4 linked regions of the Ovis aries genome follow. The protein of the gene in region 3 interacts with the protein of the main gene of each other region in a biochemical or structural test. Links are inferred from orthologs where the notes say so. Each region holds a gene or a part of one and is shown on either strand. Other genes may lie near its edges.

Region 1 (7,422 bases), on a different chromosome or scaffold from region 3:
TTGAGCTTAATGACTTACTCTCTCTAGGTTTTAAGCTCCAGTTCTTAACAGTGAGAACTGACACTCCCAGATCACATTCCTACATCAGGTCAAGGCTGCTGGCCAGTCAACATGGGTTGGTTAACCTGGGTCAAGCACACAAATCCTTGGCTGTGGATGGGTAAAGCAGTCACATTCCTTGGGAACTGTGGTATAAGCAGGTGGAAATTCTGAAACAGCCTGTGCCATTTTAAAACATCACCCAGACAAGATTTGCTTCCTCCTATTTTTGTGTGTTTCTATTAAAGATATTCCCATTCTTCCTACTGCCTAGACTGAAACTCTAAACATTTTTTAATGAAATAGATTTAACTTTGTTTGAAAAGTAATGCACACATATCCTAAAATACTCAGAATATAACAGAGTATGCTCACTGGAAGTTGTATCCTTTCTACCAAAGATTCTCAGGGTCCTCCTAGAGGCTATCACAGCTAGCAGTTTTTGAAGTATACTTCAGAAAAATTCTATGCATGTTCAAGCATTTTATTCATATTTTATCCACATTCCATTTTACATAAATGGAATAACATGAACAAGTGTGTGCCAAGCTTTCCTCACTTAATAAGCAGATTCTGAAACCTATTTGACCTCAACACATAACATATAGACTATTTTTTTCATTTTTTAATGGCTTCACAGAACTTAAATATGTGATTTTTTTTTTTAACCAGTGACCTTTTGATAGGTAGGTATACTGTTTTCACTCTTGCCATTACAAATAAGCCTGTATAAAGTACACATGCTTGTACACAGCTCTAAATATTATCAATAAATTTTTTAGTCAAAGTATACATGATATTTTCATTTTGATACATTTATAGGTTCGATCCTTGAGTTGTAAAGATCCCCTGGAGAAGTAAATGGCAACCCACTCCAGTACTCTTGCTTGGAGAATCCTATGGACAGAGGAGCCTGGTGGGCTACAGTCCAAGGGGTTACAAAGAATAGGACATGAGTGAGTGATTAACGCACTCACACACATGGCCAAATTGGGCTTCCCTGGTTGCTCAAGAATCTGCCTGCAACGTGAAAGACCTGGGTTTGACCCCTGGGTTGGGAAGATCCCCTGAAGAAGGGAATGGCAACCTATTCCAGTATTCTTGCCTGGAGAATTCCATGGACAGAGGGGCCTCACAGGCTACAGTTAATGGGGTATGGAGTTGCAAAGAGACACCACTGAGCAACTAACACACACACACACACACACACACACACACACACACACACACACAAGGGCAAACTGCTTCCAAAGATGGTGTGCCAGTTTCTCACACCATCTGTGCAAAAGTCTCCATTTGTCCAAAGCATGCACAGCCTCGTGTTCTGTCAAACTTTCTGATCTCTTCTAATCTGGTAATTTTAGTTATTTTAAAATTTCACCTTCTTTTTTGCCCACTAAGTCAGTCACTGAGTTCTGTGAGTTCTTTCATTCTCATCTCCTTCTGTGTCTCTGTAATTGCAATGCTATGATCTTAGTTTCAGCTTTTGTTGTGTCATTTATTGCCTCCTAATAGTGTTCATTCCAGTCTCTCCCCTTATTACCTCACAACTTACTCATACACAGCCAGAAAGACCTGAAATCCATAAGGGTACTTTAGCTTTCCCTAACCTACATGAGATGCCAAAGGTAGCTGCTGAGATTTGGAGACACTAGTGTTGCAAGAAAGAGAGAGAAGCTTGTAATAAGAAAAGTTAAAAACAAAAACAAAAAAGCCCCAGCAAAACCATCAGCCAAAATAGGGCTGGATAACTCAAAACAAGTCAACACTTCCCACCCCACTGTCACTAGACTGATACAGTTTGTCCAGCATATAGTCTTTATCAATCTGATTTGCACATTCTTCTGACATATCAAAAGTAGAGGCAGTCCTGATCATCTGCCCATTTACGGCTCACACTCTAATTCCTTGCCTAGTTCTAGGGGAAACGGGTACTCTACAGTGAGCTATACTGGTGGGTGAGCGAATCCAGATCTTAATCTTTTCTCATATCCAGTGAGTCTCAATAATCTGATTAAAGTAAAATACTCCAGATCCTTATTTTAAAAGCTCACCTCAGAAATTAAACTATTCCTCTAAGGGGACTCTTTTTTTAAATACAGGACAAAACTGTATCTTTTTATATCCACATACCTGTATACAAATGCACAGGAAGACAATTGGAAGGACACATCTGGAAGTGGTTCTTTCTGAGAAGAGTAGATTTGTATGTATCAGTTGTATTATTTTAAAAAGAAATATTTTTCTTTAAAACAAATAGGAAATTGGATCTTGCTACTCACACCTGTTTTCTTCAAGTTTATTATTAAATTCCACGGTGCTTCTAAACATTCATCTGGGAAACGGGGCCTGCTACTGATATTTATTTTAACCAAATTGCCTAACCAATCTTATCCGGAAAAAGCATTGTTTGTGGTATAGTGAACAAAAGGAAGTGACCTAGAGAAGTTCATGGATCAGGTCTTTCACTTCAGTCACATTATCACGTTTACGCTCCTTAGTGAGAGGTAACATGGTGCTGGTGAGAGAAAAAGGATCTGAGTTCCAGTTTGGGCTCTGCTAAGAATATACTGGGGGACCATGAGCAAACACTTTCATTGTAAAATGGTGAATAAGACTAGGACAGATTTCTTTGATTACTAGAAGACTTACAAAGATGCAGTCTAGGGTGAAAAATCTATTATTCAGTTCTGAGTTGCTCCGAATCTAAAGGCAAGAAGACAAATTCTCTCCAATTCAGCAAACGTGTGTTATGTATTAGGACCACTGTGAATCTCAGGCGCTCTTTCACCAGGTTTTAGACTGATTTGCAAAAAAGCAAAAAAGTCCTCTCACTGAAGAAGCGTTTCGTTTCTCTTGGCCGTGGCCATTGCCCAAAGTGCCAAGATCTAATTGCCGTCAACATTAAGATGAAGACGTACCTGCTGCGAACGTGAAGACACTACAGTTCCCAGCATGCCTCTCTTCCCACCGCCGCCCTCTCCCGCCCCTACTCCTGGACTCTTGCCGGGCCGGGACTTGCAGTCCCAGCTCAAAGCCGGCGGCGGCGCGAAAGCAGTCTAGAAATGTACTTTTCCCACAAAAAGGCGGTGAGACCGCAGTTTCCAATTCAAGTCCTACTCCAACTGACTAGCGTCTGTCCGGCGGAGTCAAATTCCCTCCAACCAGCTCTCTTCAGACCGGCAAACTGCTGGGGCGGAACCACGCCCCGGAAATGAGGTCAAGTCCCCCAGCTGACGGCTGAAGCTCCTTCCAGCCACTCCTAGACGGACTAGGACAGGCGGGGCGGGCTTGGGGGCGTGGCAAGCGGGCGTGGCTCAGCTCGGCGTAGCCCCGGGGATCTAGCCGCTGCGCGGGGCCGCGCGTCTGGGTGGCAGCGGGGGCGCGCCCGTGGAGAGTGGCGGCTGCGGTTGCTAGTCTGGAGGGAGGGAAGGAGGAACCGGGAAGGGGTGGGGGGGGCAGGGCGATCGGAGAGCCGTGTTCCTAAGGCGGTGGCTGCGTCTCCGACGGAGCAGGAGCAGGGCGGGGAAGGAGGATGGAGCAAGCTGGGGGTTGGGGTTGGCGCTAGCCGCTGCGGCTCGTCTACTACTGTGGGAGAGTGGCTGCTCCTGGAAGTTGTAGGATCGGGAGCCGGGCTGGTGCCGCCGGTGCCGCCGCTGCCTTGGGCGGTGGGGAGGAGCAGGGAGCGTCAGGGGTCGGGAAAGACGGGACGGGTAGGGGGCGCGAGCTGGGGAAGACTGAGCGGGCTCTGCGCCGGGCGGGCGGGCGGCGGGGGGGCCAGCGACCGCAACCGGGGGGACGGGGGAGGATGGAGCAAGTGGAGATCCTGAGGAAATTCATCCAGAGGGTCCAGGCCATGAAGAGTCCGGACCATAATGGGGAGGACAACTTCGCCCGGGACTTCATGGTGAGTCCCTCCCCTCGCTGTTGCCTCCTCTCACCGGCATCCAAGCCCACTGCCTCTTCGCCCGCCCGGCCCGACCGCCGGCGCTTTGTGTGCGGCTGTAAGGAGAGGGGCGGAGGGGGCGCGCGCCAACCCCAAGGGCCGGGGTTGACTCGGAGGCTGGGAGGTGAGATCGCCCCTCGTCCTCCTTTCCTTTCGTCCTGCGATCGCGGCCCCTTCCGCCCGCGTCCGGAACGCGAAGAGAGGCCGCTGGCCAAGCCCGCACTTAGCGCCGCCGCCCGCGACCACCTATTGTTTCTCGGGCTGGGAGCGGGAGGCGAATGAGGTGCAGGCCGGTAGGCTCTTCTCATCTCCCCATCCAGTCTGCTCCTCCTGGGAGGGTCGAGGCAGGAAGGAGAGCGGATAGCGCCGACTGAGGAACGGAGCTATTAAGGTTGCATTTAACTCGTGGGGTCCCTTTGCTCAAGCTGGTCTCAAAAGAGGTCAGGGTAGGACTTTTTGCTCTTTCTGGGTTCGCAGTATTATCTCCAATGCAAGAGAAAGGATAGTCCATAGGAAATCTCGTGGAATGTTCGATTTCCATTTACTGCCGTCCTGTCTCTTGTCTCTTGAGACCCAGGTTTTAGATGGTGTAGGGGTCAACGTGATTTGAGGTTGAGGGATAAGTGTGTGTAGAGGCAGGGCGTGGGGGTGGAGGGTGCGTGGTTATCCCGAAGGAAGCCTACTTCAGACTCCCTAGGGGATACTGCCGAAGGCGGAGGGGATGTGACTATCACTTCCTATCCGGGGTGGGGGTGGGGAACTTGGGAACAATAGTCCTGGTGGGGCGGAGGCGACTGTACGGGCTGAAGCCCTGAACTGGGAGATAACCTTCGTAGTCTCCCCACCCCCCTTCCGACATCCCCCCTCCCCCTTCCGCCCTTTGCTTGTACTGGCGGGCTGGATAGGAGGTTAAAAGTCTTGGTCGTGGAATTGCTCTCGAGCCATCACTACGAGGGGGTCAGATCCGAAGGCGTGGGACCAGAAGTCGACTTCCTCCATTGCCACCCCCCCTCCTTTATTTTTCTGCTGGACAATGTTCCCTTTAGGGTTGTTTCTCGCCTTAGGAGGCGGTGGTTGCGGCGCTGCTCCTACGGATATTGCGCAAGACTGGGGCGTTGGAAACCCTGGAGGTCTGGGGAATGGAAAAGGAAGTGGGACTTTGGGAAGTGGTTGCTCCTTAGTCTTGGCGGGGTTTGGAAATGGGAAATAAGCTAGGGAAAATTTTGCTTCTGGGCAAGATTCACCTCCAAGAGTAGTCACCTAACTCTGAAATTCTGGATTGTGAAAAAGATACACAGTTAATGTGTATAAAAATGAGTCGCAAACATTGGCTAGTTTTTGTTTCAAAGTACAGTTTAATTGTTTACAAGGTGCAGGTGAAATGGCTTTTCGCACTGAAATACGAAATACTTTTCACATTTTAAAGAGACTTTGGTCTAGTAAAACTTTAGCGTTAACATTCTTAACCCTTAACTTTACTCAGTGTCATAACAGTATAGTTGAGCTTTGTGATTCCCGCCTCCCTAAACCAATAATAGAAGATAGGAGTTTGGTTTTGTTAGTATCTTTTGAAAGTGTAAAAAATGTTGATTAAATAATTTATGGTTTATTTTAAACATTTCCTCTTGATACTTAGCCCATGTATCTCCCCCCCCCCAATTTCCCTTTTATCTGAAAAAGTTAAAGATGTTTCCTTCTTCCTATTGGGAATTTTGAATGTGTTAGGTATCTTTGAAATGACATCACAGTAATTGGACAGAGTCCCCCTTTTATTACTCTCTAGCAAACATAAAAGAAAATATTTACTTAGATTTTAAAACTAGTCTAACACAGTCTTACTTTGGATGTGGAAGGAGAGGTGTGTGACCCTGTCCACTTGGCATGTTGGTCCTCTTGTTCTCTATGGACATATCCTGTCAGGAAAGGGCATTGTTTGCTGATGCAGGCCATCAGGACAAGTGCCCAGTCTCTGAACTCCTGTACAGGGGAAGTAGCCTTCGGGTTCATGCTTTGGGGATGAGTCAGGGATTCCTATTGGAGATTTCGTTTCTCCGGGACTAAATGAGTTTTCTTTTTCTTCCCTAATACCTAGGGATATCTAGGTGATTCTGCATTTAAGATTTGATGACTAAGGCTGTTCTTTTACAGTGCTTGCTTTTTTTATTCTGTGACTTGATAAGCAATAGCTATAATTAAATCTGCCAGTTATGCCTCTTTTTCTCTTAACTAGAAAGCTGGAGGAAAACTTTGTCCCCTCTGCCACAAAAAGAAAATATATTGGCTAATAGATTCTTCTAATAATAAACACTTCTGTAATTCTTAAATTCTGACATTTTAAAATTTTTAGCATTTGAGAACTGAGCCTTAGGGTAATCTAGCTATTATAACCCTATTCATTTATAAAGTGATAATGTTCATTGTTTCAAATTTGGAAATTATAGAGCAGTAATTAAGAATGCCTTACCTTTAGGAAAGTGGAATAGGCATTCATACTGTGGTTTTTCCATTGTTCTGTTCAGTCTTCCTGTAGTTCCATCACCCAAAGGCTATCTTTGTTAATGTCTTTAATGCTTCTCTGTGACCATACTACACGTACCATTTAATATTCTTAGGGTTTTTTCCAACTTAATATTTAGGTGTTTTTCCTTTGTAAAGATAATTTTAGGTGGCTATATAATATTTCACCTAGCCACTGTCATATAGCTTAACCATTTTCTTATAGTTGAAAGTTTAGGCCGCTGATTTTCTGCTATTATGTGTCATAATTCTGTGGAGAACACTTAAGCATAAAATTTCTTTATTTTGAATTATTGCATAAGATATCTTCCATTGGTGTTGGAAGTACTAGATAAAAGGATGTAAACATCTGAAATATGTAAATGAATAAGTTTTTGAAGTTGTATCACTTTTTACAACTAACAGTAATGTATGAGTGTTCATATAATAATCTTGGATCTTTGATAATTCGAGGTTGAAGAATAGTATGTTGTTTTAATTTTAATATTGTGATGACTAGTAAGAGTAGAGACTTTTCTGCCTGTTGTCATTCTGTGAGTTGTCTATTCCTGGCATTGGCCTTTTGTGTGCCCCATCCTGTAAAGAGGAGAATACTAAGGTATTGAGATGGTGTAAACTATAGCACCAAAATGATTTCAAGTTGATGGTTAAACTGATAATCTGTGTCAGATCCGGAACTTGGTCACAACTATCTCAGCTTGTCGTCTTTATGAAATTGCAGATAGTGATCATGAGAAGTAAATGTGTACATAGGGTGATGCCCATTTATGTTTGACATGTGTAGGTTTACTACCATCTCTGCCATTGGTTAGTTTTCTGACCTTGGCCACTTGCAAGAAAATGAATTGACCGAGTTCTTTCAATTTTAAAAGAAGATAAATGCTATCTACTTCACAAGACTGAAGTATGGGACTGATAGT
Region 2 (6,830 bases), on a different chromosome or scaffold from region 3:
GAAAATTAAAAAACCACTTTCACTAAGACTTTTTTTTCTCAGACAAAACGCACTGTTGTAGCAGTTGAATATTCAGGTAAGCGCTTTATCTGTTTCTGTAGAGCAAATGAATCCTCTCTTCTGAGAAAAGGAGGCAGAGGCAAAGAGACGATTTTAAACATTAACTGTCGTAAGAGGGCCGTTTGCTGTCGGAGAGAGGGATGAGTCTGTGCGGCGGGTGCGTTACCCCTTCAGGTTTTCACTGCTCAAGTTTCCTTTGACACATTATTGCTTCACACTTGTACTTTTCCCGAGGGCCACGATGGTCCTTTCTCTGGAGGTGGGCTTCTCTGGAGCATTCACGTCCTTCTGGAAGCCGGGACAGCGGCGTCCCTGCTGAGCCTGAGCACGGTGCCAGCGCCGGCCCAGCCCCCCCTTCCCGTTGGCCTCCATGCTCCTTGGCTCTCTTCCCCTGGGGCCTCCATGTCGGAGGCTGCGGAGCCTCGAGCGGCTGGCAGTGGGCATTGGGGAGAGGGCAGGAGCCTGGGAGGAGGACGTGACACCTACTGTGCCCTCAGACGTGAGGGGAGGTCAGCACAGCCACGCGGGCCTGAGGGTAGCCACGTGCACCTGGAGGGGGCGAGTGTGATTTAGGTCATTAGTCCAGAGAAGGGGTGAGAGACTTAAAAAAAAAAAATTCTTTTTTAATAAAGTAAGTCTGCTCTGGCTGATGAAGGGTGATAAAGGGAGAGAGCGGGGCCCAGGCCACCGAGGGCCCAGCTGTACCCGGTCCAGCATATGTCCTGGGAGGCGCACAAGCCCCAGGAAGGTTTCAGCTGGCAAGAGGTGGGGGAGACCTGGTTTAGAAAGATCGCTCTGGATGTAGGGGCAGAAGAGACAGGAGAGGCAGGCGGTGGCCTAACAAACAGGTCCACGTTGCAAAGTCCTCAGAAGCGAGGCCCACACTCCGGAAGGGAAGCGCAAGCAGACACTGTCCCTGTGAGAGGAGCAGCCAGGGAGACACCAGGGGCCCAGCGCCTGCGGACCTGACAGGGCCCGCTCTGCCTCCAGTCGCTCTCACCGCTGGGCTGTGCAAAGGGGCACTTTACCAGAGAGGGCAGGCACGGTCAAGGCACGGCAGGAACTTGCTTTCCCAAAGTGAAGCTCTGCTCGCACCGCTGCACGAAGCCAGCAGAACAGCCCAAGAAGCACAGGGGAGAGGGAAGCGGGGCTCACGCTCCAGGCGCTGGGCAGGCCGGCCGACAGGGTAGGGTGGAGACCAGGGCAAGGGCCGCTCAACCTTTCTCTCCTTTAAACTCACCTGTTTATCTGACTTGGTTACAATAAGCATGTAATTACATACTGCTTCTTTGGATTTTTCTAACAGAAATCTAAAGCAACCTGAGGAAATGAACAGACAAACGTCGCCCTAATGGACTGGCACCCGCACGGACAGTGGCGTGAAGCGTGGGCAGCTCCAACTCACCGATCCTTTCTCCATCACTCTGTTGAGCATGACGACGCCCCTGCTCTTCTGCTCCCACACCATCTCCCAGAAGTGACCGCAGGTGTTGGGTAAAGGGCCCTGCAAACACAATTCACAATGTGTGCATCTTACATACAAACCCGTCCTGGTGCGAGCTCGCTGTCGGTGCTGAGTGGACAACAGCGCCCTCAGGTAGCGTGGAAGCCGTGGCTGAGGCCAGGACCTGCCTCTCCCTGCCTAGCGGTCAGTAACCACAGTTCTATTTTCTACCATGTAGCGAAAAGTCACTTCCGTATCTCAGAGCTGGTTCAGAGCTGAATGACAGAGGAGAGAAAACACTGATTCTGCTTTCTGGTTTGGGCAGGCTGGAGCAAGGGCACCAGAGATCTCTGCGTCAGGGCGGCTGGGACAGCGAACAACACTGCTGGCTGCAGATGAGCGGTGGAGGGGAAGGGCCCCACCCGCACACCCCTCGGACAAGCCACCTGCCTCCCTTCCCGCAGCTCCTCCGCCCAGCCTCTAATCGTCAGAGCACATGTTCACAGGGCTGGGAAGATGGTCACAGACTGACTACACCTTTCTGCAGGACCCGGAACACAGTAAATACCCTACAAAGTGTAAGCTATCATTATTACTACTATTATTGGCCAATCCGACCACAGACTCCCCTCACCCTTGGAGCACGGGACCTAAGAGATGAGGGCACACAGATAGCCGGGGGTGGGCAAGGGCCGTGGTGCCACTGGCCCCAAACATCACTCCAGTCCAGAACGGGTCTGAGGGACTAAAGTCATGGAAGATCTGAAAGGACACACACCAAACAGCCAATACTTGAAGGTGGGCGTGAAGGCCAGTATCCGTGACATTACTCTCTACAGGTTTAAAAAGTGAGGCGAGAGCCTTGCATTCTTTGCTTAATGAACGACACTGAAAAAATGGGCACTGTGTTCTTGGTTTTGTGGCATGGAAATGATTTCAGTCCCACTGTCCAGCGGTGCAACTTTGGGGCCAGGCTGCTTGAACCCCTTACGTGAATCTCAGGGCAGAGGGAGACCATGTCAGCAAGCAGCTGGATACATCTGGGGTGCGATCTGACGGACAGACGGAACTTCAGATGTGCCAAGCAACTGCGAGGGTGCTGGGGTGGAGAGGACAGCGGGGTAAAAGTTTTCATGGTGATTTCCTAATTCCCGTTTGACTTTATATACCCTATCTTTGCTTTGGGCTTGCTGACCCCAGACCAAGTTGAACGGCTGAAATCAGGAAGTAAGAAACTTGACCACTTCTAAAACAGAAGTTCCCAAGAAGCCACTTTGCCACAACCTCTTCCCACCAGCTTGCCACCAAGGTCTCCCTGCCCCTCACCCCAACCCCAGAGGGCTGGGAGGACCACGGCTGAGGGCCTGGGGACTGATGTTCCGTACAATGCCTGGGGGTGGGTGTCGGGCCGACTCTGGTCATGTGTGGAGAGGAACCCGGATAGAACAAAAGGACAGTCAAGAAGGGCCCCCAAGAAAAGGCTCCAAAGCAGACTCTGGTCACTGTGCTGCCTTAGCTTCACTGCCATTTTAGCCTCCGAATATTAGACAGGGTTGTGATGTTCACAGTCACCCTAGAACCCAACCTAATATAAGACTGAGAAACTGACATGGAAAGAGAAAAGAGGAAATGAGGATTGAGGGGGGGCGGAGAGAGAGGGAGAGAGAGAGAGAGATTGATTTAGACTGTGTATATCAATGTACCAGTAAGAGATGATGACTTGAGAAAATCGGTTAAGAGAGACCCCTTCACCCTCTTCCCCAGACTCCGGTGGTCTTTGGGTCATATACCAGTGTTTCACAAAAGGCCAATTATGAAACCACTGTTGTGATTTCTTTTTCCATAAAGACGCCAAAAACCAAGGGGAGTTTCAAGTCATTCTGTATGCTTCTCCACATAACCTAACATACCCCTCCACCCCCAAAGAATGAGGACCACGCAGAGGAATTCTGAAAGGCCATCTGGATAAAGATTTCTGGTCTATTACTAACCCTCTTACGTGTCCATAACCAGCTCTGATGCCCTGAGGCAAATACTTAGGGACTCAACACAGGTACCGTCTTCTCTAGCTACTGCCTCTGTCAACAAACTAGACAACCCTGGCACTCTACTGCTGTTGTCTACAAATCCAGCAATGACATACTTCCCAGAAAAGATTCATGTCATGACTAGACTGAATCTCTGAAGGAAGACTTTTCCCTCCCATGTTGCTTTTTTGGGTTAGAAACCTGGTCTTCTAAAAGATGTGAAAGACTTTATGTGAGGCGTGGATAACGGCACTGTCAAACTCTTTGGCTGACATCGAGAGAGGCAAAACCCACTAGAGAAAAATTCAGACTCTGTTTACCTGGGTGAGAATGTAACTCCTTTGGGCTTCTTCCATTTTTATCAAACTAGCATTGATATAGTCGTTATCTTCTTGATGCAGTTTAATCCGACTGTGATCAACTGAAAGGCAAACCAGAATGCAAGGTTAATCCAGGGGGACTTAAGTGCTTACACAGGCGATGCGCCCTATGGGGAAAGCAGAGAAGGCGAGTGAGGTGCTCAGGGTGTTCACACTGGCTGAGTCCAAACTGTTCTGAGATTAAATTAGTGTCTCCAATAATGGGAACAACAAGTACTTTCAGAAGGTTTTTGAAAGTATCTGAAACTTGATACAAAATAGCAACAGAAACAAATTACACTAAAACACAGATTAATTCTTGTTTGGGAAATCTGTTTTTAGGCTTTATCGTCTTATAATATTTATTACTGTCCTCACACCTCAGAAGACGGGGGGGGGGGGGGGGGGGATGTCAAGGAATCTGTTCTCTGAGGCCTAAAACATACTTTAATGAGTAAAAAATGCAATGGCTTTGATCTTTAAAAGGGAACAAAATCCACCAATATTCCACCCAGTCCCCAGAGTTCAAGTTGGTACAATGAACCAAGCTGTTCATTTACGATCGCGTCTCAGGCTCACCTGTGCCTAATGCTTCCAAGATTAAATGGCTGAAGTATACAACAGTGTGAAAATTCATACCCTGAATTCCTTGATACAAGGTTGTCTTTAAAAAAGCTCAAGTATAACATAAATGTCACAATCAAAGACACTTAAAAGAGAGTTTAACAGGAAAACATAGACTCTGAATCCAAAACACAACACTAAAAATATATTAAAAGTAACTTTCAGAATAGTTTTTAGAAATACACTTGCATTTGAAAGGTCTACCCCAGGTTACTAAAAAACCACAGCCGCTTCTTCTCCTCTTTACCACATTGTCACAAAAGCCCTATTTTCCTGAAGGCAACTTTCCTTATCTTGCCAGGCCCATTAACAAGAGCAGGTGGGTGTTTTTATTTCTGGTACAAACAAGGGACAGTAAACTCAGCTGACGGCCCATAAACAGTTCTCCCCTTGCCCAGAGAGAAAGGAAAACTTAATGCGGATAAGCAGTTAGCGGCTTTCTACTTGAAAGCGTTCCAAAGAGATGTTTTAGTAGATTAGCCATTGTTTGGAATAATTTTTCTCATCACAGAGGGTTAGTACACACTGAAATACTCAGGTGATACTGAAATGGGCCATGGACATAAGCGGCCTCACAGCACTGGGTGGTGACCTCGGGCAGAAACTTATCTTCTGAGTGCTGAGTGTTTCACCTGCCAAACGGAAGATACCAGGATCACCTTCTACCTTGAAACATTCTTCCCATTTCCTTCATAACTTTAAAAGCAAATTACCTTCTCTAGTGAAGAGTGGAGGTAGGGGAGAAAAATGCAAGGAGTTAAGACTGGTTAAAACCAACCTAGATAGCATATTGAAAAGCAGAGACATTATTTTGCCAACAAAGGTTGGTCTAGTCAAGGCTATGGTTTTTCCAGTGGTCACGTATGGATGTGAGAGTCAGACTGTGAAGAAAGCTGAGCGCCGAAGAATTGATGCTTTTGAACTGTGGTGTTGGAGAAGACTCTTGAGAGTCCCTTGGACTCTCAAGGAGTCCAAGGAGATCTAACCAGTCCATTCTGAAGGAGATCAGCCCTGGGATTTCTTTGGAAGGACTGATGCTAAAGCTGAAACTCCAGTACTTTGGCCACCTCATGTGAAGAGTTGACTCATTCGAAAAGACCCTGATGCTGGGAGGGACTGGGGGCAGGAGGAGAAGGGGACGACAGAGGATGAGATGGCTGGCTGGTATCACAGACTCGATGGACGCAAGTGTGAGTGAACTCCGGGAGTTGGTGATGGACGGGGAGGCCTGGTGTGCTGCAATTCATGGGGTCGCAAAGAGTCGGACACGACTGAGCGACTGAACTGAACTGAAAAAGTTTGGGAATTGTATCCCTGGAAGAATATTTCAAATGCTGTTTTTTTTCTCTGTAAAGCTGGTTTACAAACTTAGATGAATACTGACCGAAAACACAGAAAAGAAATATGAAAGATAATATTGTTGCTAATTCAGAGCGAGTACAGCAAAGGCTCTAGACCAAGGGCTTGGTGGGCACGAGCGTGCGGTATGAACTGCGGTGGTGACTCCAGTGCAGGGCAGCTGGCCAGGGCCTCATGGCAGAATTCCCTGAGAAGAGGCCATCAGTATTATTCTTAAATGACATCTATGTGAAGCCATAGCCTGGAAGTGCTAAATCAAGAGAATCAGGCACTGGGGCAAAATCCTGTGTCACCTGACCCAGCCGCGTGGCGGACGTGCCCAGCGGGCACTTCAGCTCCTGGCCGTCTCAGCCACAGCCGACACTGAGAGTGAGACTTGGGGCTAAGCACTGATGTGTCCTGACTTCCGTCTGCGTCCAGTCCTGAGATCCCTGTGACTCTGGTCTGACTGAAGATCAGAGGAGAGGGCAACCCGCCTGAGGCCATGCAGCTCAGAGGGGCAGAGCTCCGCGGCAGCTGTCGGAAGTAGACTGCTTAGCGCCAGCCCAGGTCTAATTCACTCCCCAGCCTACAGCCTGGGGCACCGCACCATCTGGCAGGAGGCACTGCCACTCTCCCGTGGAGGGCACCAGGAGCCGCCCCTGCAGCGGGCTTCGGTGGGACCGGTCTGCTCGGGGGCCTGGCGGCATCGTCACGTCCCCGGCAGAGGGCACTGCTGTGGAGCTGCTGCAGCCACGGCCCTCACTGCTGGGCGACGCCACGTGGAGGTGAGTCCCAAGGCTCTCTGTGACCTAGAGGAGGCGGTGAAGTTCCAGTCCTTCCCTCCTCTCTAGTTTTTCTCACTTTACACAGATTCTAACACAGTTATTCACTTTCGAGGGATCAACGGACTGAAAGCCAATTACTCAGAAGGCAGAGGAGGCTGCCAGCAGCAGGCACACTGAGAGCTAAGGGCAG
Region 3 (7,628 bases):
ATCACCGCCGGGCCTCACAAGCCCCAGGGGCGCACAGCCGGGCCCCCGGAGGGCACAGCACCCGGCCCGCCAGCCTCCATCACCGCCGGGCCTCACAAGCCCCAGGGGCGCACAGCCGAGCCCCCAGGAGGGCACAGCACCTGGCCCGCCAGCCTCCATCACCGCTGGGCCTCATGAGCCCCAGGGGTGCACAGCTGGGCATCCAGGAGGGCACAGCACCCAGCCCACCAGCCTCACAAGCCCCAGGGGAGCACAGCCAGGCCCCCAGGAGAGCATAGCACCTGGCCCGCCAGCCTCTGTCACCGCCAGGCCTCACGAGCCCCAAGGGCGCACAGCCAGGCCCCCAGGAGGGCACAGCACCTGGCCCGCCAGCCTCTGTCACCGCCAGGCCTCACGAGCCCCAAGGGTGCACAGCCAGGGTCCCAGGAGGGCACAGCACCTGGCCCGCCAGCCTCCATCACTGCCAGGCTTCATAAGCCCCAGGGGGCACAGCCGGGCCCCCAGGAGGGCACAGCACAGGGGCCCACCCGCATCCAGGCACCACGGGGATGGCAGCCGCCACCTCTGGCCCCTCACTCCTGACCTGGGGAGCCCCTCGCTAAATCCTACTCCTTCAGGATGCCACTCAGGTGTCACCACCCCCCGGAAGATTACCACGTTCTCTCCTGGGCACCCACCACCTGGTGCGCCCTCCTTGAGGTGCCAATTGACACCCCTTATCACTGCCCACTTCATGTCCCCCAACCTGGGCATCCAGGACGGCAGGGGGGAGGGGGTCCTGCCTTCTCAGCAGGGGACCCCCGCACAAGCAGGGCTGAACCTGGGGCTGCTGACCTGCCAGGCGCAGGAGGGGGCGGTGCCCTGGCCTCCCTGGGAGCCACCCGAGGAAGCCAGGTCAGCCCCCTGACACGGCCTCACCCTAGAGGGAGGGGACAGAGGGGCACCCCCAGCCTGAAGCAATACTCCCTGGTCAACAGCCTGCCATCGGCGCACCCAGGACAACGGCCTGGTTGTTGCACGGGGAGCTGAGAGGCTGTCCCGCAGGCCGGCCTGGGGTGAGAATGGCCCTCGTTGTGTGTGCCAGACCCACGGGCCCAGGGCGCGGAGCAGCTGGGCCACGGTCGCCACTGGGCATGCGCCCGGGAGACTGGTGCCCGTCGGATGGGTGTGCCCTCCACCTGCTGCCCCAGAGAGTCTTGGGTGTGCTCTAGGGGTCCCCAAACCCAGACTCGGGGGTGGTGCTACCTGGCGGCTGAGAGACTGACAGGCTCACAGTGACAATCTGACGACACAGCCCTTCTGCACGCTCAGTATCTCCTTCACCTCGAGACACCAGGACTACGCCCATCCTACAGACAGGGAAACTGAGGTGCACAGCCGTTACCTGATCTGCCAGCGTCGCGGGCAGGACGTGGCAGAGGGGCCCTGAGCTGTGTGGCAAAGTGCAGCCAGGAGGCCCCAGGGCACTGGTCAGGTCCACGAAATCCAGGGCGTAAAGTTCACAGGCCTTGCTCACCCCCCCATCCCTGCCTGACACACACCCAGGCCGCGAGCACAGAGCCCCACACACGGCACTCACTCGGCAAACACTGGTTCTCTTCATACACGGCCGTCTCAAATGTGGGCCAAGATTATTTCTGGGGTATTCTGTTTGCTTGTCCCAAGGAGACCCTGTGGCCAGCGGATACAGCCAAAGCGTGTGTGTGCCCCCGCCGCAGCCCACACCCACAGCTCACTTGTGCCCTGGGACGCCCCCAGGAGGGCTGCCCCGTGCCCAGGGCCCTGGCAAGCCCCCGCTCTGCTCCGGGCTGGGGGGTTCAGGAGGGCAGCCCCTCACCTTTCCAGGGGTCCCCACACCCTCATCTCGGACAGAACTCCGGAACAGCTGGCCTTGGTGTCACCCAGGACAGCTGAGAGTTCAGGGACTGGGCTCAGGTCTTCAGTGCCCAGCGTGAGGAGCACGGGTGAGACCCTGCGCCAGAGCCACGCGCGGGGACAAGGCAGGCATGCCCCCTTCCCCGCCTACTGGGCAGTGCCCGAGCCCCAGACGCAGAGCAGGGGCTGGGTGTGGGTCTTCAGCCCCAGGCCCTGACCCCAGCAGCCAGAACAGGCCCACAGACACAGACTGGAAACCCAGCTGTGGGGGGTCATGGCCAGCAGGAGCCCTGACCCGGCCTTGGTTAGCAGTGGCAAGAGCAAGAGCCTCCGCATTCAGGTCCTGGGCGGGAAGAAGGCCGTGGGCAGGGAGCCCAGGCACGGACCCTGGCGGCTGGGCAGGGAGGGTCCTCGAGCCGCAAACATGGCCTGCAGCCTCTAGCACACCAGATGGTGGGGAGAGGCGGGCCTGGCCCCGGGCACTGAGGAGCCCCTGGGGAGGGACGAGAGCAGAGCCCACTGTCCCAGAGCCCACCTACCTGCTGACAGCTGGGAGTGGTCCTCGCACCCTGAGCTCCGCACCACTGCCACCCGCCCAGGGAACTGACCCAGACCCCAGACTCGCTGGGACAGTCTGGCCTGTTCAGTCTCAGGATTTGGCTTCTTGGCAGAGGCCAGCACAGGCTGACCTTGAGTTCACGGACAGCATCAGGCCCTGGGAAGCCACCACGGCCACCCCCCAGGTTTGCCACTGGAGGGGCAGAGACAGAGGCACAGCCCAGGTGGGGCGGCAGAGGCGTTGTTCCTTACAACGCCTTGGTTTCCCCACCTCGGCGTTCAAAGCCCCCTCTCCAGTCCTAAATGGTAACCCTCAGCAGCCCTTAAAGCAGCACCACCTGCTTCAGCAGGAGGAGGGAGACACACTGGTACAAAGAGCACAGTTCTCCAGCTCAAAAAAGGTCCCGAGCCCTGGTGTCTAGGGTGCGTGCTGGAAAAGGGGTCTGAGACGGGGCCCAGCTCCTCCACCCTGAGCCCGTTCCAGGCCAGCCAGTACTTCGTCCCTCTCCCCAGGCAGAGATGGGAGCAGGTCAAGTCAGGGGCTCTCCCGCCCGCCCCCTGGAGGGAGACCACCCTGGAGCTCCGTACTTGGGGCCTTCAGGGCCCAGAGAGGAGGAACTTGGACAGTGTCTTCCCGGAGAATGACCCAGTGCCCGCCAAGCACTGTCCCCACCCCCTTCCACCTGCTGGCTGGTTCTAGCTGCCCCAGCCAGCTGTGGGCTCCTGGGGGACGGAGGAGAGCTCTCCAGGCTGAGAGAAAACGGGCGCTGGGACCCCTAAAAGAATGACAGGTGGGGGCCACTAAGGCACAGTGTGGGAGCCAGTGAGAGACCCCACGGAGCTGGCAGTCCCCCCAGTCCCAGAGTGAGGGGAGCACATGGACGAGCTGGGCCACACCAGGAGACTACGCCCTGGGTCAGCTCTGAGGACAGTAACGTCCCTCTCTGGCCTCAGTGCCCCCATCTGCACCTGGAGGGAGCAGTGGCCTCTCTCACTCGGGCAGGACCCCCAGGGCACTGCCCTCACTTCAGTTCCTGCCCAAGCCTGGGCAGACGGGGCAAGCCTGCAGCGCAAGTGTACAGCTCTCTGGAGCTGAGGCTGACCGTCCTGGCAGAGTTGGAGACTGCCCTAGCCTGCCTCCACCCTGCACCCACTGGACTCTCCCCTCGCTGAGGTCAAGTGGGTGGCGGGTGCCAGTGCCAGAAGGGCTTGCCAACAGCTCCTCCCAGACTCCCTTCCCATCAGGCTCCACCTGCACTCAGGCCCCTCTCCTGCTTTTCCAGGCCTGTTAGCCCTGACACGTCCCTCCACACCAGCATCAGCTCCCCACCCTGGAAAGGAAACGGTCATGGGTGGGGGGAGATGAGGAATACCTCCGGGCCTGGCTGAAACCGGCACAGCAAACCCGGACAGGACCTCCCAGCTGAGAGTCTTAAGGCTGGGGAGAAAACAAGCTCCCTGTTCTCAAGACCAGCTAGAGATGGGAGACCCCAACATCTCCCCGGACTTTAATCTCTCACGCTCCCCTACCTCCCCCAGGCCTCGGCAAACCTCAGTTTCTCCGAAACCATCACCACTACCCGGGGCTCTGCCGAGCGCAGCAGCAACCCGGGCACCTAAGCCCAGGTGGCGGCCACCCGAGTGGCGGCCGCGCCCCTCCCGGCTCGCAGGCTCCACCAGCGCAGACGAGGGACCGGGATGGGACCGCCGCGTGGGGTTGGACTGGCCTGTCCACCGTCCAGCTCCCACAACGCTTCTGCAGAGAACGAAGGCCATAACTGGAGCCCGCCCCGGATCCCGGAGTCCAACGCTGGCGACCGAGGTTAATTATTAACTTCTCCGCAGACCACGCACTTGCTCCCGGCGCCCTCGATCCCTAGCCTGGGGCAGGGGCAACCGTCCCCCCAAAACACAGGGAGCACCACCCCGCCTCCTGGAAATTCACGGCCCAAGGGGCCCCGGGTCGCTGCTCCGGGCGATGGAGGGGGGGGCTCGGAGACCCGGCTCTCAGGCCCAAGGTCACCCGGCAGGCGCGGCCGGCAGGCGGGAGCGGGCCTCCGGCCAGCTACTCTCCCGGATCCAGGAACTTCCCTGCGGCCCGCGGCGCCCGAACCCGGTCCTTCCAGCAGCCCGCGGGCGCGCGGGGCCTGCGGTCGCCCACAGCCCCGGCCTTCGCGAGCCCGGGCCGGGCAGAGGGGGTTCGCAGGACCCCGGCCCCACGCCCCCGCGGCGGCCGTTCCCAGGACCCGCGGGTCCGGCAGGAAATGCCGCTCACTTAACCCCTCCCCGCCCGGGCCCGCCGGGTCCGCCCGGGCGCGGGCAGGGCCGGGGGGCCTCGGCCGACGGCCCCGGGTGCGCGGACCGCGCCCCGGCCGAGCTCACCAGGTAGTTCATGGTGTCCGGTGGGCCTGGGCTCCCCCCGGGGGCGCACAGCGAACCGCTCGCGCCGCGCGCTCGCGGGGTCCCGAGCGCCCCGAGGCCGCGCGGCTCCCGCGCCCCGGTGCGGCCGCCTCAGCGCCTGCCCGGCCACTGCCGCCGCCCAGGGCCGGCCCTCCTCGCCCCGCCCGCCGCCGCGCCCCGCTCCGTCGCGCCCGGCCGCGCGCACCCATTGGCCACGCGGGCCCCCATGCAAATGCCCCGCCGGGCCGGGGGCGGGGCGCCGAGCAGGGCCCGCCCCCGGCCCCGCCCCCAGGGCCGGGACTGCGCGGGGCTCCGGGAACCCGCCCGCCCCGCGCTCCGAAGGCCTGTCCCTGCCCTCCACCGAGGGCGAGCGCGCCCCTCCTCAAAGGCCGTGGCCTTCCTCTTCCGGGAAGACTGCCGGGATTGCCCTCCTGCTCTGCGGCCGTGGCAGCCCCGGAGGCGCCAGCCTTCCCCGCCTGCCAGCGAGGGTCATTTCACACGCGTCCATCCAACAAGTCCGACTCAGATCTGCACCCGGAGGAGTATGCCCCAGCTGGCAGAAAACTGAGATTCCGACTACCACCGCACCGACTCTGGTCAGGCGTGTGGTGTCAAGAGCCCCAGAACGTGAAGACACGGCAAGGACGCCGGGGAAGGCAGGGAATCCGGGGACGGCAGCTGTCTCCGTGGGTAACGCGGGGAGTGGAGGCCCGGAGCGCATCGTGTTCTAGAAGCCACAGTGTGCAGGAGGCCCCAGCGCACCGGGGACAAGAAGCTTGTCCATTTACCCCTTCTCCGAACTGAATCCAGCTTCCCTAGTGCTGCCCCAGGACCTCTGCCCCCACTCAGACCCCTCAGTCAGCCCTGTCCAGGGCTGACTCTTCTGGCCTAACAACTCCCCTGTTTCAGCAGCAGGAGCTGGGAGGGATGCTGATGGGAATGACCGGGAGGGAGAAGCCCTACAGGGAAGCTGACTGGAGGGCACCATGGTTCTGAACTTCCCCTCCCCAGCAGACAAGCTGTGACCGTCCCTGAAGGTGGTCCAGGGCTGCAGCAGGGAGATCTAGGAAGGAGCCAGCTCCAGACCTGGACGCTCCCGCGCCTCACATTTGGGGTTCTCCCACAGGCTGCCTTCTCGAGCCACCTGCTGAGTGTGCAGACACCATCAGGCAGCTCAGAATGCCAGCGAAGCAGCAGGGCATATCCTGTAGAGAACCCTCGGGCGTGGCCTATAAAATACAGTAGTACAAGCCCAAGGAAGACCCAAAGGTGTCCCTCCATTGACACCCAGGCTGACACAGCCCCTCTCCAGGTGTGCTACCATGGGCAGGCTCTCCCTAATCTATAAAAAGGAGCTGGGCTAGGATGCCCCACGTCTGGCTGGTCATAGATCCTTTGGAAAGCTTGTTCAGAAACAGATTCCTAGGTCCCCTCCTCCAGAAAAACTGGGAGTGAGAGGAATCCGGACATCTGCATTTCCCCCAAAACTGCTTGGGGAACCACTGGACGAAACTCTCAGCATAGTGTGTGGGTGAAGAGCAGCAAGGTTTGCACACAGGGGGACCTAGAGTCCTCAAGAAGGAACAGGACAAGCTGCCACCGTATGCCCGCCTTAGGACTGGCCCCCCTGTACTCTTCAAAACAGCTCCATTCCCCACAGAAGAGCCAGCTCTCGGGAATGTTAAGGGTGTCCCCTCCTGCTTGTTCCCAAGGCTACGCCCCAAAGTTAGAAAGGAAGCCGTGGGTCTGCCCTGCCCTCAGCCTGACTGGCACCTCCGCTTCCAAGGAAACATCGGAGCAGCCGGTCGTGAGTGAATATCTGTCCATGCTGAGTGGAGGGGGTCCTTAGGTTTTCCCCGGGGTCTCCACTCGGGTGGGGAGTAGGGTGGGGACCAGGCTCCACAGCTAGTCAGTAGGTCTCCACAGAGGTGGGCAGGGACAGCCCTGTCAGGCTGGCCTTGGGAGAGCGAGGAAGCAGCCTGGAGGGAGAAGACCAGAGACCCTCCCTCCACCGGATTAAAGCCAAACGGGGGCGGGGCTGCTCAAGTGGGCGGGCAGGCGGGGGAGGAGAACCCAGCTCTGGCCCAGGCATTTCAAAAATTTGCTTCTTTTCCACTTAAACTCCCCACTCCCCCCAAGACTGTGCCTCCTAGAATGGCATTTCCGCTTTGGAATCCAGGCCCGGGATCTGTGCCCCAGTGTGCTGGAAGGGGAGGGGTTGAAGGGGTAGCGGAGTGCCCCCTCCCAGGCCTGCCTTTGGGAACTGGGGGAGGGGCGCCCATTGGGCAGCTCCCGGGGTCTGTGGGGGAGCAGACCCTCCCAGGCCAACGGCCAAGGGACGCAGCCCCCAGGACAGCGCTCAGGCCAGCACTGGGCTAAGGCCTCCATGATCACGTGCTCATCTCGTGCCCACCGTGATCTTGCACAACAGGCTTCCCAATTCGCCCCATTTTCCAGATGAAGAGGCTGAGACCCAGTTTCCCCTGCCCCTCCTGCCCCCCCCCAGAGTGCAGTCCTGGAAGGGAGGGCCGGCGGGGCTGCTATAGCGCAGCCCACGCTGAACCCCCTGCAGCACCTTCAGGACCTGCAGGGCAGAAAAGAGGTCGAGGAACACGGGTGCCCAGGGAAGCCAAGGACCCTGCCGCACTCAGAGGCCCCAAAGGACAAGTATGTGAAACCCAAGCACCATCCTCAGACACAAGTGACCTCAGAACAGGCCCAGGAGCGCCCCTCCCACACGAAGGCCAGCCCTGCAGGGTGAGCGCACTGCGTGGCCGGGAAGGAGAGGACCCTGC
Region 4 (7,562 bases), on a different chromosome or scaffold from region 3:
CGGCCGTGGGAGAAGGCGTGGCCTCTGCCTGGCGGCCGTGAGCGTCCCCTCTGGGCAGGCGCTCAGGTGAGGTTGGGCATCCTTTCTGGCCCTCGCACAGCTGCTGCCTGTATCAGAGGACGCGGTCTTTAAAGTCAGCATCCAGGAAGCTCCAGAAGAGCCTGACAGGGAGTGCTGAGCAACATCAGATCTGTACCACCAGAGCGTGCTCTCAGCAATATCTATCGAGCAACAAAACAGGGGGGTGGGGGTGGGGAGGTGCCTCTATGAGCCAACTCGCCTCTGTTTTTCCCATCTTTGCTCCTCACGACCCTCCTCCCAGTCATCACACAGCTACACGAGCTGGAACCGGAAACTTCATAAGAGAAGCGACCTACGCAAAGCACACTTCCAATTTTCTAGACCCGGGAAAATGTACTGTCTCTAAACTGAACCCACTCAGAAACTGGACCCTGCTGTTAAACTGGAAACAGCCTCTATTAAAACGGAAAGAAAAACCCAGGAGCACTTACCTAACACTGAACAGAACTTAACAGAATCTTGGAAGTGTTCACACTCAAGTAAGATGGAGGTGAAGTGTCTGTTTATGCAACAAGCTTCAGCCTACAAGCTGCACCCGTGTGCGGAAAAAGAATCCTTTAAAATCTGTCATTGGAAAACCAGAAGCCACTGACACACCTTAAATGTAAGATCCAAGACAGGACTGAATAGTGCAACTCAAAAGGCAAAATTAACAAGACAACCCAGAGGACAGGCAGCTGCAAACACACCAAGTCATCTGCCTCTTCCTTCCTCCTCTCCGTTCCCCTCCCATCAGCAACCGTCTTCAAACCACAGCCGTCCGTCAGCCCTGCCAGTCAGCCTGCGGAACGTCTCTACTACAGATGGACGCACGGACGGACGGACAGCTCACCAATCGTCATCACCGTGACCTGGATTGCAATAATGGCCCAGGTCACTTCCTGACTGCAAACTCCCCCCTGGCACCCCACTTCCTTCCTCTGAGCAGCCGATTCAAGCTGCCTCTGCAGAGCCACGGCCCTGGCGCGGCTGGCTCCCCACCCTGGGCGCCCTCTTGGCTTCAGCCCTGCTCTGACCCTCCTGCCTCAGGTCAGCCCCGCCTGCTAGACCCCCTGCCCACGTGGACTTTCTTCACACCGACCAATGCTGTCTTTTACTTAAATCTCTACTTTCCAGCCTGTCTCCTCACTGACATCTAAGGCCCATGATGGAGAAAGCACGTCACCCCTCTCTCCCAGTACGCATCCCTGGGATTAACTCTCCTGTAATGTCTGGACAAGGACGTACACTGTGAAGTTAAGGGGGCGTCCCTGTGGTGCAGAGGTTGAGACCCCAGCTGCCACTGCCAAGGGCTCAGTTTTGGTCCCTGGCCAGGGACTTTGGCTCCCACACGCTGCACGGCCAAAAAAAAAAAGCTACTCCCCCAACAAAAAAAAGAGATCAGTCCTTAAATTCTGAGGAAGCCAGTAAGTCGTCACTTTTTACTGAGCAAAATGAACCCCAAAAAATAACTATTAGCCAAAGCGCAGAAGCTCTGGCTTCAGGAGCTCGGTTCTGAGGCCTGAAAGAGCCTAACCACTTCATCCATCCTGCCTGGGGCGTGGAAGCACACGGCCCTGATTTTTGCCTTTGGCCAAAGCTGGCCCGGCCTTGTCTTCTACACTAGCTGAGTAATAAGCGCATCACACAGATCCGCGGGTTTCTGGCTCCGGGAGAGGCGATCCAGGTTCAGTGTGACCAAGTGAATCCTGCCAGGATCTCATTCAACTGGGGCAGCGGCAGCCCTCGGAGACACCAGGGGAAGGAAAACTCGACGGCAGCGGGACGCCCGGGGCAGCGGGCGGAGAAACAGCAAAGCTCAACTGGAGGCGGGGGCAGCGCCAGGGAAAGGCCCCAAGGGCAGGGAGGCGCGCCCGGTGAGGGGCGGGTGGGGCCCGAGCAAAGGTCCTCCGGCGCGAGTGGGCGTGTAGCGCGGGCTCCCTGGAGGCGGCGGGAGAGGGTGAGGACGGGCATCTGGGAAGCAGCACGAAGGGAAAGCTGGGGGTGGCGGCTGCGGGCACTGGGAAGCCAGGGCCGCGCCCCTTTCTCTCCACCCAGAGGGGCTCGAGTCCCTCCCTCACGGCTGCACTGAGGCGCGCGGCGAGGCCCAGTCAGTGCCCGAGAGAGCGCTCAGTCACCTTCACAAGCCAGAAGAGCCAGTTACGCGAACGCAGCTGAAGCCTCACCACTGCGGGAGCCGAGAGCCCCCAGCCTCTCACGCTGGAATCACACTGTGCTGAGCGCTGCCTCTAGCTCCCAGGCTCTTCGGGGACCTGGAGGCCTCGCCAGTCAGACTCGCCGCGGCTAGGCCTTTGTTACGCAGTATCTGATTTATAATCCCTGTCTCCCAGCTTTTAAAGTCCATTTAGCTCAGCAGTTAACCTCCTGGTCATTACACCGCGAGGGCTTCATTCTTCTCTACCTCTAGTCCACAGAAGCATCCAGTGCGTCCCCCTTTAATACGACAGCTTCTCATGTTCAGAGCTGAGACTACTATCTTGTCAGCAGATCTATCAAGTCAGAACCATCTCACCCTGAAAAAAACCTGTATTAGCACCCTGTCCTTTCTAAGCAGACGCTTGAAAAGATCAATACCTTTTATTTTTAAAACCCTACGCCATCTCTTTAGCTCAAGTTTTGCATAATCTGCACAAAAGAAGCCTCGAGCAAAATATTAAGGCCAATAATGAAGCCCAAATGAAAAGGGATGCCCAATGCTCAGTGTCACTCTGGGTTATTTTAAAATAGATACTAAGTCATGCAACTCAGTACAAAAAGGACATCTGAAATTCAACTAGCGTAGAATCTTCAGTGGAGTGTCATTCAAAATTTCCTCTTAGTAACAGTCTAGACTCATTCCACCTTGGAATTTAACCAAATGGATTTCCAGTCCATTAAAGGCCCAGCTTGGGGGAAATCTATTAAAAAAAAAAAATTCCTCGTTCAAGCCGACCTCTTCTACAGTATTTTCAGTTAATGTGTTATAAAACAGACGCCTGGCTTATTTCAACCCTGGCACCAGGCTATCAATATATGGCCCTGATATTTCACAGGTAAAGGCATTTCGTTTCTACCTGCGAAGGCATTTCCATCTCTAGAGTTTCCAAAGGCTGCCGTCCGGGAGGTCCAACCCCGGAGCTCAGAGACCCTGAAAGCGGTGCAAACTCGGGAGGGCGGGGGGCAGGGAGGGGCCCGCGGGGCGGGGAGCCGAAGACTAGCTTCAGAGTCTCAACCCGTGGCCCCAAACCGGCTGCAAGACCGGGAGCAACGCCCTGCTTCAGCAGGTAATTTGCACCGAGGACGCGACGAAGGGCAGAAAGCGCCCCTTTTCCAACTGGGCGCCCGCAGCGCGAGCTGCCGGGCCCGACGCACCGCCCTCACCCACGGCGCCCCCGGCCGGCGCCGCCGCGCCGAGCCCCGCGGCCCCGCGCACCTGGGCGCCGGCTCGATGAGCGTGGTGGTGTCCAGGTAGTGGATCTTGTAGAACTCCAGCAGCGCCGGCAGGTGCTCGAACTCCTGGTCCCCGATCTTGAAGCGGCGGTTGGGCAGCGAGTTGATGATGTAGTGGGACACCCGCGAGTTCTCGGACACGGACAGCACGTAGTCCCCCGGGCAGGTGGACGAGTCGCGGACGAGGAACACGCCGTGGCGCTGGCCCTGGAGCCGCGTCTGCGCCTCCTGGCGGGACACGGGCCCCATGTACCAGGCCGAGCGGTCCGAGGAGTCGAACCTGGCGGAGGACATGGCGGGCGGCGCGCGGGGGGCCGGGCGGGCCGCTCTCGCCGGCGCTGGGGGCGCCCCGCCCGCGGCGGCTGCGCGCCGGCCGGGCCTCGGGCTCACCGCGCGCCTACAGGCCCGCGCCCGCGCCTTCCTCGCGGCCGCGGGCCCGCAACATCCTCCGGGCCGCCGGCCTGCTCCGGGGCCGCCGCGCGGGCCCAGCCGGCTCCGGGCGCGGGCCCGGCCGAGCGCGGCGAGGGCGGCTCGCGGCGCCTCCGCTCAGCCCTGGCCCCGGCGCGCGGCCGGCCCCGCGTCCCCGCCGCTCCGCACCGAGCCCCGCGGCCGCGCCGAGCCGCACACCGCCCGGGAGCGCCGCGCCGCCGGGGCCGCCGAGCCCTGCCCCGCTCCCGAGAGCCACAGCAACAAAATGGCGGCCGCGGGCGCAGCGGCGGCCACCTCCCCCGCCCCCCCCCGCGCCCCGCGACTGCGCACGCGCGCGCGCCCGCTCCCGGCGGCCGCCGGCGCCGCCCCGTGACGTCACGCCGCGCGGCCAATCGCGAGGGCGGGCGTGCGCCGCCCGCGCGCGGCGCCGCGCTCCCTCCCGGGCCCGCCGGGGGGCGCTGCGGGGAGGCGGCGCTTCTGGAGCCCGCTCCGGGAACAAAGCGGGCGGCGCGGGCCAGGCCCGGCCCCCGGGCGCGGCCCCGGGCCGTGCGCAGCCGGGCCGGCCAGGTTAGGGGGTGGCGGGGCCGACCGCCGCGGGTGCTCAGGCGGTGGCTGGCGAAGCTCCCGCGTCCTCTCGGAGCCCTTGCCGCCTTGGCCCCCCCAGGACCCCCGCCGCAGAAGCCCCGGCCCCTGGCCGCACCCCCGTCCGCGCCGGACCGTCCGTTTCACGGGAGCGGGGTTTGGTGCGCCTTGTTCAGCCCTGGGCCTGGCGCTTCTTCGCCCCGCCCTACGCTGATCTCAGACCTGGGCGGAATGAATGACTGTCGGGGACCCCCCGCCCCCGCCCCCGCCGGCCGGTGGAGGCGCCTGTCCAGAGGGGCATCGGAGCCCGGCTCTAGACTCCTGGGGAGCCGATCTCGTTGCTGGGCTGAGCCTGTCCTGCACTGTAGGTAGGGCAGGCGTCCCCAGCTTCTGCGACCCAGTGCCTGATGACGGGAGGTGGAGCCGATGTAAGAATAACAGAAAGAAAGTGCAGCGTGAAAGGAATGCGCTTGAACCATCCCCCGCCCCGAGGAAAAACTGTCTTCCACGGAAGGGTCCCTGGCGCCCAGGATGCTGGGGACCACTGTCGCAGCGTGATGGCTGACGTTCCTTCCGGGTAAACTCAAGGGGAATCGTCACGGCCTAGGGCCTTTTGTGACTCAGCAAAGCAGGTTTTCAGCTTCCCTCCAAATACTTTCGCGTCGTGTTACTTTCGGGCACAATTTGAATAGCTCAGAATTTGAAGAGGAAGGCTTGAGTTCCAATCCTAACCTGACTTACCAGTTGACTGTATCATTCCTTGTCATATTTTTTTCATCTTCTAATATTAATTTTTCTTTCAGTTTTATAGAGAGATAGTTGACATACAGCACTGTACAAGTTTAAGGTGTACAGCTTAATGGCTTGACTTGCTTACATCATAAACTGATTATCATCACCATAAGTTTACATATAGATACAAAATTAAATACAAAAAAAATGTTTAGTGAGCATCTCAAAGATACACAATTATATCTCAGAGAAGTTATCATAGGTTGTATGCTTTGCAAGAGGCACTCAGGGAGGTCTTTTGAAGTCCAGGACTCATTTCAGTGTTACACAATTATTGCCTATAAGTTAGTCCATTTTGCTTGCTTTGCTAATGTGTGTGTGTGTGTGTGTGTGTGTGTGTGGCGGGGGGAGCTATTAATTACATTATTCTACTTTTGTGTATGTTTGGATTTTTTCACAATAAAAATAATTAAGTAATTTCTTATTTTTCCTTAGCACAGCTGAAACAAGCTTAAAAACTTTTTCCCCCAAAAAAACAGCCTAGCCACTAAGAGGTAATGAAATGGAAATGAAGGGGACAAACGACAAGAAGCTTTAAAAAGGGGCCATAACGTAAAAAAGATTTGTGATTCTGCTCTAGCTTGCTCTTCCCGAGGTTTCCAGGTAGCATTGTACTTACTCTCTTCTAAGATAGTTAGTTTAGACTCAATTGACAAGGCTTTTCCAGCAACTTGCCAGGGTTCCTGTCCCTGAGGCTGCCTCTGTACTGAGGATTCAACGCCAGCTCTCTTTTGTGGCCTCGCCACGTGGCATGCAGGGTCTTAGTTCCCCAACCGAGAATCAGACCCGCAGCCCCTGCCTTGGAAGACAGGGTCTCAGCCACTGGGCCGGCAGTGAAGTCCCCTCACCGAGGAATCTTTTTAATTATGTGTTTGTTTCCCTTTTCTGTGCGGGGTCTTCATGGCTGCACGGTTTTTCTGCACTTGCGGCGAGCGGGCTTCTCGTTGCGGTGCCTCCTGCTGCAGGGAAGGGCTCCAGAGCGCAGGGCGCGGTGGTTGTGCCGCTGCTGCCCAGCTGCTCCGTGGCTTGTGGGATCTTACCAGATCAGGGACCGAACCCACGTCTCCTTCACTGATAGGCAGATTCTTTACCCAGTGAGTCACCAGGGGAGCCCCCACCCCGCCCCACTGACTTCTGATTCTCCCCTGTCTGGTCCAACCCTGCAAGCGATGGTTAAGGCCGGACGGTCTTCCCAGGTTGCTGCCTTACTGAGGACCCGGGAGGACAGTGTCTGTCCCTTCTTCCTGCCCTAGATTCTTTGCTGGCAAAGACAGTAAGGTAGAAGAGGCCTGCCTGTGTTACGGGGAGACGCAGCAAGCGCGCTCACCGCGCTGACCTGATTGGGTCGGGGGTTCTCAGGCGTGGTCTCCACGAGCCCTGGTTGACCACTGCCTGGGTTAGACACATCCTTGGAGACCCGCCTCGCCCTCTCACCCTGCAGTTCTCCGTCACTGCTCCCCCATGCTTCATGTCTATTTCCAAATTTTTCTCCCTAACACAAAAGAGGAGCTTATTGGTTATCTTCTCCCCCACCATTAGTTTGCTACTTCGATACTAATAAAATAATGTCCAATCCCGATTATAATTTCCCATGACGCACTATTTAAAATATCAACCTGCTCATCTCTTCTTTCCCAGGGGGACATCTCTGCACGAGGCTTGGCTGCTGTGTTAGGAAGTTCTACCGACCCCTCTAGAAAACACTGGCCGACTTAATTCCAGTGTCTTAAAGTCTGGTCATGGCTCCGCCTGGCATTCTCTAACCTAGTTCTAATGGCTCTGCCGCCTCTTGTATAAAATATCCATTTTCTCGGACTTCCCTGGCGGTCCAGTGGCTGAGACTCTTTGTTCCCAGTGCAGGGGGCCCAGGAGTGATCCCTGGTCAGGGAACTAAGATTCCGTGGACCGCAACTAAGGGTTCGCACACCAGACTGCAGACCCCGTGTGCTGCCCACTTAGACTCGAGACAGCCACGTAGGTAAATAAATTAGTTTTTTTAAAAGTCCACTTTTGTGTCACTTGAGCTGAAAGGCAGCTTGTCTTGTTTCTCCTGATTTCAGAGCATCCTGGAGTGCCTTCAGCGAAATCCCCTAGAGGCACGCTGATTCCCTCTCCCATCCCTTCTCGGCCAGTGCTGTGCAGCCCTTTAGACCGGGCGTCCCCAGATTTTCCTCTAAAGATCCAGACAGGAAATATTTAAGGCTTTGCAGGACAAAGAAGAAAATCGAGGAGTGTTATGTAATCTTGCT

Evidence for each region.
Region 1: the proteins of BCAR1 (region 3) and PTPN12 form a complex in vitro, tested with the Homo sapiens proteins (3 studies listed by BioGRID and IntAct, with this or other methods). The link is inferred for Ovis aries from reciprocal best matches to the Homo sapiens genes BCAR1 and PTPN12.
Region 2: the proteins of BCAR1 (region 3) and PTPN1 form a complex in vitro, tested with the Homo sapiens proteins (3 studies listed by BioGRID and IntAct, with this or other methods). The link is inferred for Ovis aries from reciprocal best matches to the Homo sapiens genes BCAR1 and PTPN1.
Region 4: the proteins of BCAR1 (region 3) and CRKL interact in a test that uses a peptide from one of them, tested with the Homo sapiens proteins (2 studies listed by BioGRID, with this or other methods). The link is inferred for Ovis aries from reciprocal best matches to the Homo sapiens genes BCAR1 and CRKL.

What each region holds. Positions count from the first base shown.
Region 1 is NC_056057.1:45,189,850-45,197,271, reverse strand, and holds the start of PTPN12 (tyrosine-protein phosphatase non-receptor type 12), read left to right. Parts: upstream 1-3,407; 5' UTR 3,408-3,847; coding exon 3,848-3,946; intron 3,947-7,422. UniProt on the Homo sapiens protein: Dephosphorylates a range of proteins, and thereby regulates cellular signaling cascades. Dephosphorylates cellular tyrosine kinases, such as ERBB2 and PTK2B/PYK2, and thereby regulates signaling via ERBB2 and PTK2B/PYK2.
Region 2 is NC_056066.1:78,580,740-78,587,569, reverse strand, and holds part of PTPN1 (tyrosine-protein phosphatase non-receptor type 1), read right to left. Parts: intron 3,953-6,830; coding exon 3,852-3,952; intron 1,565-3,851; coding exon 1,466-1,564; intron 1-1,465. UniProt on the Homo sapiens protein: Tyrosine-protein phosphatase which acts as a regulator of endoplasmic reticulum unfolded protein response. Mediates dephosphorylation of EIF2AK3/PERK; inactivating the protein kinase activity of EIF2AK3/PERK.
Region 3 is NC_056067.1:2,076,208-2,083,835, forward strand, and holds the start of BCAR1 (breast cancer anti-estrogen resistance protein 1), read right to left. Parts: upstream 4,214-7,628; 5' UTR 4,210-4,213; coding exon 3,985-4,209; intron 1-3,984. UniProt on the Homo sapiens protein: Docking protein which plays a central coordinating role for tyrosine kinase-based signaling related to cell adhesion. Implicated in induction of cell migration and cell branching. Involved in the BCAR3-mediated inhibition of TGFB signaling.
Region 4 is NC_056070.1:72,320,292-72,327,853, reverse strand, and holds the start of CRKL (crk-like protein), read right to left. Parts: upstream 4,207-7,562; 5' UTR 3,805-4,206; coding exon 3,494-3,804; intron 1-3,493. UniProt on the Homo sapiens protein: May mediate the transduction of intracellular signals.